Linked DNA regions of Daphnia pulex. The protein of the gene in region 1 binds, or shares a complex with, the protein of each later gene. Links are inferred from orthologs where the notes say so. Each region holds a gene or a part of one and is shown on either strand. Other genes may lie near its edges.

The links. Proteins that work in one complex are often made in the same cells at the same time.
Region 2: general transcription and DNA repair factor IIH helicase subunit XPD-like (region 1) and DNA-directed RNA polymerase II subunit RPB3-like share a complex: the UniProt entries of both Homo sapiens proteins name them as parts of the TBP-based Pol II pre-initiation complex. The link is inferred for Daphnia pulex from reciprocal best matches to the Homo sapiens genes ERCC2 and POLR2C.

Annotation. Positions count from the first base shown.
Region 1 is NC_060017.1:8,164,247-8,168,298, reverse strand, and holds the start of general transcription and DNA repair factor IIH helicase subunit XPD-like, read right to left. Parts: upstream 2,801-4,052; 5' UTR 2,705-2,800; coding exon 2,700-2,704; intron 2,641-2,699; coding exon 2,541-2,640; intron 2,470-2,540; coding exon 2,215-2,469; intron 2,149-2,214; coding exon 1,915-2,148; intron 1,854-1,914; coding exon 1,730-1,853; intron 1,668-1,729; coding exon 1,571-1,667; intron 1,511-1,570; coding exon 1,377-1,510; intron 1,319-1,376; coding exon 1,150-1,318; intron 1,083-1,149; coding exon 963-1,082; intron 898-962; coding exon 829-897; intron 771-828; coding exon 599-770; intron 536-598; coding exon 257-535; intron 173-256; coding exon 84-172; intron 16-83; coding exon 1-15. Other genes in the region: cyclin-dependent kinase 20-like, read left to right, coding at 2,892-3,210, 3,282-3,512, 3,571-3,641, 3,709-3,748, 3,816-4,006. UniProt on the Homo sapiens protein: ATP-dependent 5'-3' DNA helicase. Component of the general transcription and DNA repair factor IIH (TFIIH) core complex, not absolutely essential for minimal transcription in vitro.
Region 2 is NC_060024.1:10,723,578-10,727,403, reverse strand, and holds DNA-directed RNA polymerase II subunit RPB3-like, read left to right. Parts: upstream 1-1,813; 5' UTR 1,814-1,920; coding exon 1,921-2,006; intron 2,007-2,065; coding exon 2,066-2,412; intron 2,413-2,477; coding exon 2,478-2,540; intron 2,541-2,599; coding exon 2,600-2,746; intron 2,747-2,812; coding exon 2,813-2,994; 3' UTR 2,995-3,065; downstream 3,066-3,826. Other genes in the region: transmembrane protein 170A-like, read right to left, coding at 3,183-3,378, 3,441-3,546, 3,631-3,754. UniProt on the Homo sapiens protein: Core component of RNA polymerase II (Pol II), a DNA-dependent RNA polymerase which synthesizes mRNA precursors and many functional non-coding RNAs using the four ribonucleoside triphosphates as substrates.

The DNA.
Region 1 (4,052 bases):
AACATTAACACGGCGCTACATGAATCGGTAAAAGAAATGGTCAATATAGTCAGAATCTTTTGTTTTCCTATTATTTTTCATACCGTCCAAGATGGTGGTCAAAATCAATTCCTTCAGAGACTTTACCCCGTGCGACTGAAAGTAGTACAGCTCCTCGTCCATTATCACAAGCCTTCACTCGATTAAACAGATCGATTCAGATTAAACGAAAATCTTTAGACTAGAGGAATTAATTACTTTTAGAAACGAAACGTACTTTGATGTAGTTAATCAGCGCCAAACTCGTTTCTGCTGCGTCTTGGGTTTCGATAAAGAGGAGCTTGTGTCTTTGCAATTGATCGATAATGCCCTGATCGTACCAAGACGACACAATTGTTTCCAGGTATAGGTAGCTGGTGAAGAAGCAAACAATCCCATCGGGTACAGCGGCCGCTACTTCAACCAACAAATTTCCGTAGTTGCGAATAACGGCGGTGTCCTCACGAGTTTCGTATCGCGATGACATGGCGACCTGGTCGTTACCTTTCGATACGATCTATACTTAAAATAAGAATTTTAGTGTTACGTTAACATTTATGAAAAATGAGGCATCTACTACCATTGGCAGAATACAGGGTCTCGCCAAAGTCATAGTAAATGAGGTCATTATGACTGGATGGAAGTCGAGGATTTTCGGATACATATCAAGCGGTGAAAGGGTTCCTGAGGTGATGACGACAGTTTGGAAACGATTGAAAACTGGTTTGATGGCAATAGATGAATCTAAACAGCTGTAAAATGTACTAGCATTAATCACTGTTGGTCTTTGCGTGTTCTATATTCACATACCTGAAATATAAAATTGGGTTGGAAACTGTAGGTGCCCGATCTTCAAACGGTTCAATGATGATGGTGAATCTAAAATAGTAAATTACTTTTAGATATTTTTTCACCATTTTATCACTGTAAATAAAGATATTAACCCTTTAGTATATGTCGAGACCAATGTAGCAAAGTGAGAAACGGTTACAAGAGGTGAGAAATCCGTCAGGTCGGATATTTCAAGAGTGCGAATGAGTGAAGATAAACGCTCTGCGGTGAATCTGGAAAGTTTATCAACAAAATAGGTAAAATAATAATTTGTGCGTGTGAAACTGTATTTTTATATACCTTAGAGGTTTCCTATCGATACACACTTTAATGTGAATATCTCTCAAGAAACCGGCGGGACTCTCTTGAACGACGTGCTGGACGCGGAGTCGAGTTTTGATGTACTCTACTACTCGCTTCAAAAAGGCCACGAAGTGCTCAGCAGTACGGATCGTTCCAGGGACGGCCTCTATAAATGAAAGAAATGTTAAAATGGCCCGAACGGATACTTGTGAATAAATACAGACCTTCTAAAATTTCAGAAGGTAAAACCGGGTTAACTAAAGCCATGTCAGTTTCTCTCGCTATGTTAGCATCTCGCAATCCTTCAACTAGCCTTTGGTATTCCTTCTCCAACCTTCTGTTGTCATTTTCTTTCATGCTAAAGAGTTAAAAAAGTTAACAACTCTGAAATTAATCATGCACATCCAGTTGTGATTACTTTGAAATGGTGGTTTCCAGAATTTGAATGCTATTGGAGCATTTATCCAGCAGACGTTTCGTTATCTTGACGCTCATCGAATCTATACAGACATTATCTAGAAAAACCAATATTTAATTAGTAGGGCAATTTTAAGAGGTTACGTTTCAGTAAAATTACCAATATTGTGGGCTTCATCAAAGACAACGACGCTAGTTTTTGAAATTTCCTTGGAAACGACTTCTGCAATCTTGGGATCAAGTAAGTAATGATAGCTGTACACCACAATGTTGGCGTGAGTTATCTATAATTTAAATTTGGTATTAATTTGGTTGTACAATATTTTATAAATGTCATGATCTAACGGTGTATCGGGCAAGAAAATAAGGACACCATCCTTTGGCCTGTCCATATTCCTTTAAATCGTCCAGGTTGTACACCCCAGGAGGCAGCGGAAATTCTTTTCCATGAGCATCGAATCCTTCATAAAAGTTGCATACTGGCACAGCGTCATCACCTGCATGACGAGCTCTTACAAACGATGCCGTGAGACCGTAACAGCGCCCGTCGACTACTTTTCCTTCTCTCTCCTTACTGACCTGTTATGTAATTGTGTTGTTGATTAACCATACTTTTAAATCTTTTTACTATTTAATTCATATTACTGAGGGGTGAATGCAGAGATTCTTTCTGGAGCTAAGTGCCAAGCCAAGAATGTTTTGTTCCATGCCCATCTCTTTTTCGTAGTAATTCATTAATTTTCGCAATTCTTCCATAACCTTTTCAATTTCAGGAACAGTTCTTGAACAGTAGACTAGTTTGGTTAAATCAAGGGGGTGAGCCTTCATGTAGGCCACAATTAATGATAGCAATGTTGTTGTCTTCCCCGTTCCAGAAGGCATTTCCAATAAACAGTGACCCTGAATTGATCCAACATCAACAGATATTTATGTAATTTCAAGTTATACTAGTATTGGACGATACAACATACTTTTGCATCGAGAGCATGTTTCAGTTCGAGCATGTATGAAAACTGCTCCGGGTATATGTAATCGTAAGGGAAGTAGACGAGGAGTCCATCAACATTTAATCTATGAACATGTAAATAAATTAAATGTGGTCTCTGAATTGACAAAAGTGCGGGATTTACTTCATTTTTGTACGAGAAAGTTTACAACAACATGCACATAAAGTTGCTTGCCACTTGTTCTTCTTCAAATTTCTAGCAGACTAATTTTCCTTTTCACGTGTCGATAATGGTTACCAATAGATGGCGCGTAGTCAAGGCAACCAATTTGTTGTTTAAAAATATTTGTTGCGATTAGTTTTTTTAAACGATCTCATGGAAAGATATATTGTGAACGGCAGGATTGGGGAAGGGGCACACGGGATCGTTCTTAAAGGTATTGACAAGTCCACAATGAAACTGGTCGCCATGAAACGGATAGCGTTGAAGAACATTAACGAGCAGGGATTGCCGAACTCGGCTGTTCGTGAATTGCTGGCTCTTCGCCTGATCCGCCATGAATATGTAGTGAACCTAGTGGACTATTTCCCACAAGGATATTCGCTTGTGTTGGTCTTTGAATATTTACCAATAGATCTCTACGAATTTTTGCGCTCCAACTCCAAACCTTTGCCGACGAGTCACGTGAAAAGCTGTACCATATTTACATCTCTACAATCAGATTTTAGGCATTCAAATAACCAATATGCAATCCTTTCCATTTAGACATGTGGATGCTAGCCAGCGCTGTGGAATATATTCATAGTTTGGGTATTATGCATCGGGATTTGAAGCCGGCCAATTTGCTGATTGGTTCCCGAGGCGAACTGAAAGTGACCGATTTCGGATTGTGTCGTACGTTCAATCATTCCGAAAAGGCTCAAAGATTATTCACACATCAGGTGGCTTCGCGGTGGTACAGAGCACCGGAACTGCTCTATGGTTCTCGCAACTATGGCAAGTTTCATTTTAATTTAAAAATGCCATGTTAATTCTAACACCTTTTTCACAACAGGACCGGAAGTCGACCTATGGGCTATGGGCTGTATCTTTGGTGAAATGTTGAAGAATTCTCCCCTTTTTCCGGTAAATAATGGCCAATGTTGTCAATATAATATGTTGTAACAGTATCCGGATTTCCATCAAACCCTAGGGAGAAAATGACATTGGCCAACTGTGCACAGTCATTCAAGGTCATTAACAATACGGTAATCATAATCAAGGTGAATGGCATTAACTCTTTTGTGGGTAATTACATAGTACTAGGCACTCCAGACGAAGAAAATTGGCCAGGTGTATCAGCATTGCCAGATTTCCACAAAATTTCATTTACCAAAACTCGGAAACAAATCTCCTTTAAGAAAATCCTGATTGATGTAGACGAATCATCACGAACGATGCTGGAACAATTTCTTCGCTATTGCCCCCAATCACGAATAACAGCTAAACAGGTCATTTCTAATCTTCTATCTTTTAAAAATTTAAATCTAATTAAAA
Region 2 (3,826 bases), on another chromosome or scaffold:
TCAGTTTGTAAAGAAAATTAAAATAAAAATAATAAAAATAAAAACAAAAAAAATCAAATTAAGGGAGGCCAGCGCTGATATAAGTTTTTTCAAACAAAATAAAAAGCCGAATTTTTAAAAATTTTAATTTTGATTCATATATTTCTTTCATTGGGGCCTGATAAGATTTTTTTTTAAAGATGATAGTAATCTTTTTGTACATATTTTTTCTTTTCCTCTTATATAATAACCCTCGGTTCCAGAAATATTGTGCGCTAATTAGAATAATATTGAGTGGCCGTTCTCTCATCCTCCCCCTTATACCAGTTCCTCCAACTTTATATCTCTATGGCTTTACGTGTGTGTTTAGCATTTCCTTCGAGAAGCCCCCCAGGTAGACACCTATAAACTAAGTATATCGAATGGCAAGGATTTAGCAGCTCCTACTCTCTACCTTTGCCCCAATCGTCCCTCCTCAGCTCAGTCCTTAATATTACATGGCTTTTGACGCGTTTGATGACATAATCTTTGGTTTTTGTATTTTAAAAAGTCAAAGTTTACTGGTGTGTTGGGGGGGGGGGAATATACAGCGGGGGATGTACAATGTTCAAATTACTTTTGATCCCTCGACTCTGTTCGCTTTCCTTTTTTATTCTACGATGAAAATTGATCCCGTTTCGTAGATTTTGAATGATAATTTGAATTCAAAAACTGGACGGCAAGAAACGATATGATTACCTTCGAGTATTGGTTTCCTTCATTTTTCTTTTTCAAGTGAAAAAGAACCGACGTCGATGTGCATAATGCATACAATTTGCATACGGTATTGAAAAAAACAAACAGATACTCATTTGGTATAAATTTAGATTTTTCTTTCTTTTTTTTGAGAAAGAGAGATTGCGGAATTTTGCATTATCCTTACGTAACCTTGGGTTTTTTTAAATTTATGTACATGTCAAAAAATTTCTTTTTTTATGTTTCCTTATATTTCCCACACTTCCGGCTGTACACCACATTTTGATAAAAATAACTTTGGGTTCTCATCATTTAATTATTATGATATGCGTGTAGTTTTTATTTTTTCATTTTTTTTATTTTAATATCATTAGCTGTGTAATATTTCCGTGATGCCAAACATACAACTGTCATCTAGAATGAGATTTTTATTCGTTGATTGAAAAAAAAAAAATTCTTTCTAAACAGTTAACCGCGTTTAGCCAAAGTTTCTTCCAGATTGGGACCCGCGCAATTGGAATGTCGTAATATTGGGTGACGTGTCATCAGATCCTCAATCCATCATGGCGAACTTCCTGTACTTCCTTCGATACCGGTAACTTTTTGGACCTTGGATCGGACGATTCGTTTGACGCCATTTCGTCGCACCTGAACCGAAAAGAATTTCACAAGTTAAAAATCTGAAGAAAGCCAAGTTATGATATCTAAATATAAACAATAACTATTTCAACACTGTATTCAAAAAGTGAATTGCACTTCAAAATAAATATGAACAGTCTGGTGAGTCAATTTACGTTGGTTAAGCCGTTAAAAGCGGCGCACATTCTGATGCGCGATAGGAGAGGAAAACAAAACATGGTTTATATTTCCCAATATTTAGTCGAAACAATTTCTAAATAATGGAAACGGTGTATCGAATTCTTTCATCAAAAAATAAATCTACAAACCAATAATACGCAATCAACATCTTCAACATTAAACTTCCAAAATTTTAGAAAAAATTTCAATTTTTAGAAAAATGAAATTTTCCCGCACAGCCTTCGTAATACCTGCCATCTGGTGACAGAATAAGGAGGTTCTTGTACACGACTCATTGTTTGGGCTAGCTTGTTGCAGACTTGCAGAAGGAAGCGAGAGTCGAAACGAGAAGCCGGCAAGTAATTATTCTTAACGTTTGTTGTTTTGAATAATACAACTTACTTAAGAATGCCCTACGCCAATCAACCAAATCTCAAATTGACCGAACTAACAGAGGAAAATGTTAAATTTCAGATTTCAGACACAGACCTTAGGTATTTACTTAAATTGTTGGTAATGAGAACATTTATATCATGCCTTTATCACATTTCAGTGTAGCAAACTCTCTGAGGCGAGTCTTCATTGCTGAAACCCCTACATTAGCCATTGATTGGGTCCAGTTTGAAGCAAATTCCACTGTCTTGTTTGATGAATTTTTGGCACATCGTGTGGGTCTTATTCCACTGACTAGTGATGACTCTGTTGAAAAGATGCAGTATTCCAGAGACTGCACTTGTCCAGATTTCTGTGTTGATTGCTCAGTGGAGTTCACTTTGGATGTTAAATGTTCTGAGGATGTTACACGCAATGTCACCACTGCTGATCTAAAGAGTACTGATCCAAGAGTGGTTCCAGCTACCTCCAAACGGGATGAAGAGCCACCAGATGACAATGATAATGGTACTGCAGAACATTTCTAAAGTTTGGAATCTGAGTTTGATTATAAATTTTTTTGTTTGTTTTAGAAATTTTAATTGTCAAGCTTCGTAAAGGACAAGAACTCAAAATGCGGGCATATGCCAAGAAAGGTAAATTTTGTTGCAGTTCAATTTGTTTCTCCTTCTTGAAAATATATATTTTTTTTTAGGTTTTGGTAAAGAACATGCAAAATGGAATCCAACAGCTGGAGTGGCCTTTGAGTACGACCCTGATAATTCATTGAGGCATACTTTGTTCCCGAAACCTGAAGAATGGCCAAGGAGTGAATATTCGGAGCTGGGCGAATCAGATCAACGTAATTTTTAAACGAATTTTTATGGTTTAACTAGTTTTATTTGAATTTTTATTTATTTATTTTTAGATGAAGCCCCATACGATCCTGATGGCAAACCTAACAAATTTTTTGTTAACGTGGAATCTTGTGGATCTTTACGACCAGAAAATATTGTCTTAATGGGAATCGCTATTCTCAAGAAGAAACTTTCTGATTTGCAGACCCAATTGAGCCACGAAGTGCAAAACGATGCCCTCGCCATCAACTGATTTTCCATTTTGTTCGAAATAATTGTAATGGTTTTGTATTAATGCAATTAATACACGAAGAATTAAGTAAAGCCGAATATCATCAAACTTATTTAATTTGTCTTATAAGATCTCAGGTGGACATGGAGTAAAAAAGGAACTTATGTAGCACAGCAAAATATGGTGAATATGAAAAATACATTGGTGATCTATAATACTGCAAGAATTCTAGTGAAGCCAAAACAAGCACTGCAGAATGTTTGTCCCACACCCCAAAGTGCAACATGCCATCTAGCCATGACTAGTCCTGAGTTTTCATACACAAATGACACAACTGCGCTTGTCACTGCACCTGTTGTTAGAGGTGTGATAATTCCCATCAAAAGAATTATGATGGAGTAAAACCTATTGCCAAAAGATTATATTTAGTTGTAACAGAATATGTGGAATGCTTAGGTATATTTTACCTTCCAACTGCATGCTTCCTTAATGTCAGAAATGCAATTATGGCAGCAACGGAATGAATGAAGATGGAAGAAAACATTGCCCACAAGAAAACGTTGTACCACATTTCTAGATGTATTGGGCATTGAATATTTTTATTATAGGTAACATGTTTCCTCTAAATTTAATATGTGGGTGAAAAAAAAATAATACCAAAGAACTCTTCAAGAGGAGCATTTGGTTTGTTCCAGATTTTTTCGAGGATGAAATCCATGTTAGAACTAGTTGACTGCGAGCCATCAGCAGATATTGGTGTTTGAATCATAGTGAGCTGCATTTTGCTATGCAGTGTTATCGCTCAGAACGATATCTGTCGCAGTGTTGTAAATCAGTTTGCTAATAGCAAGAT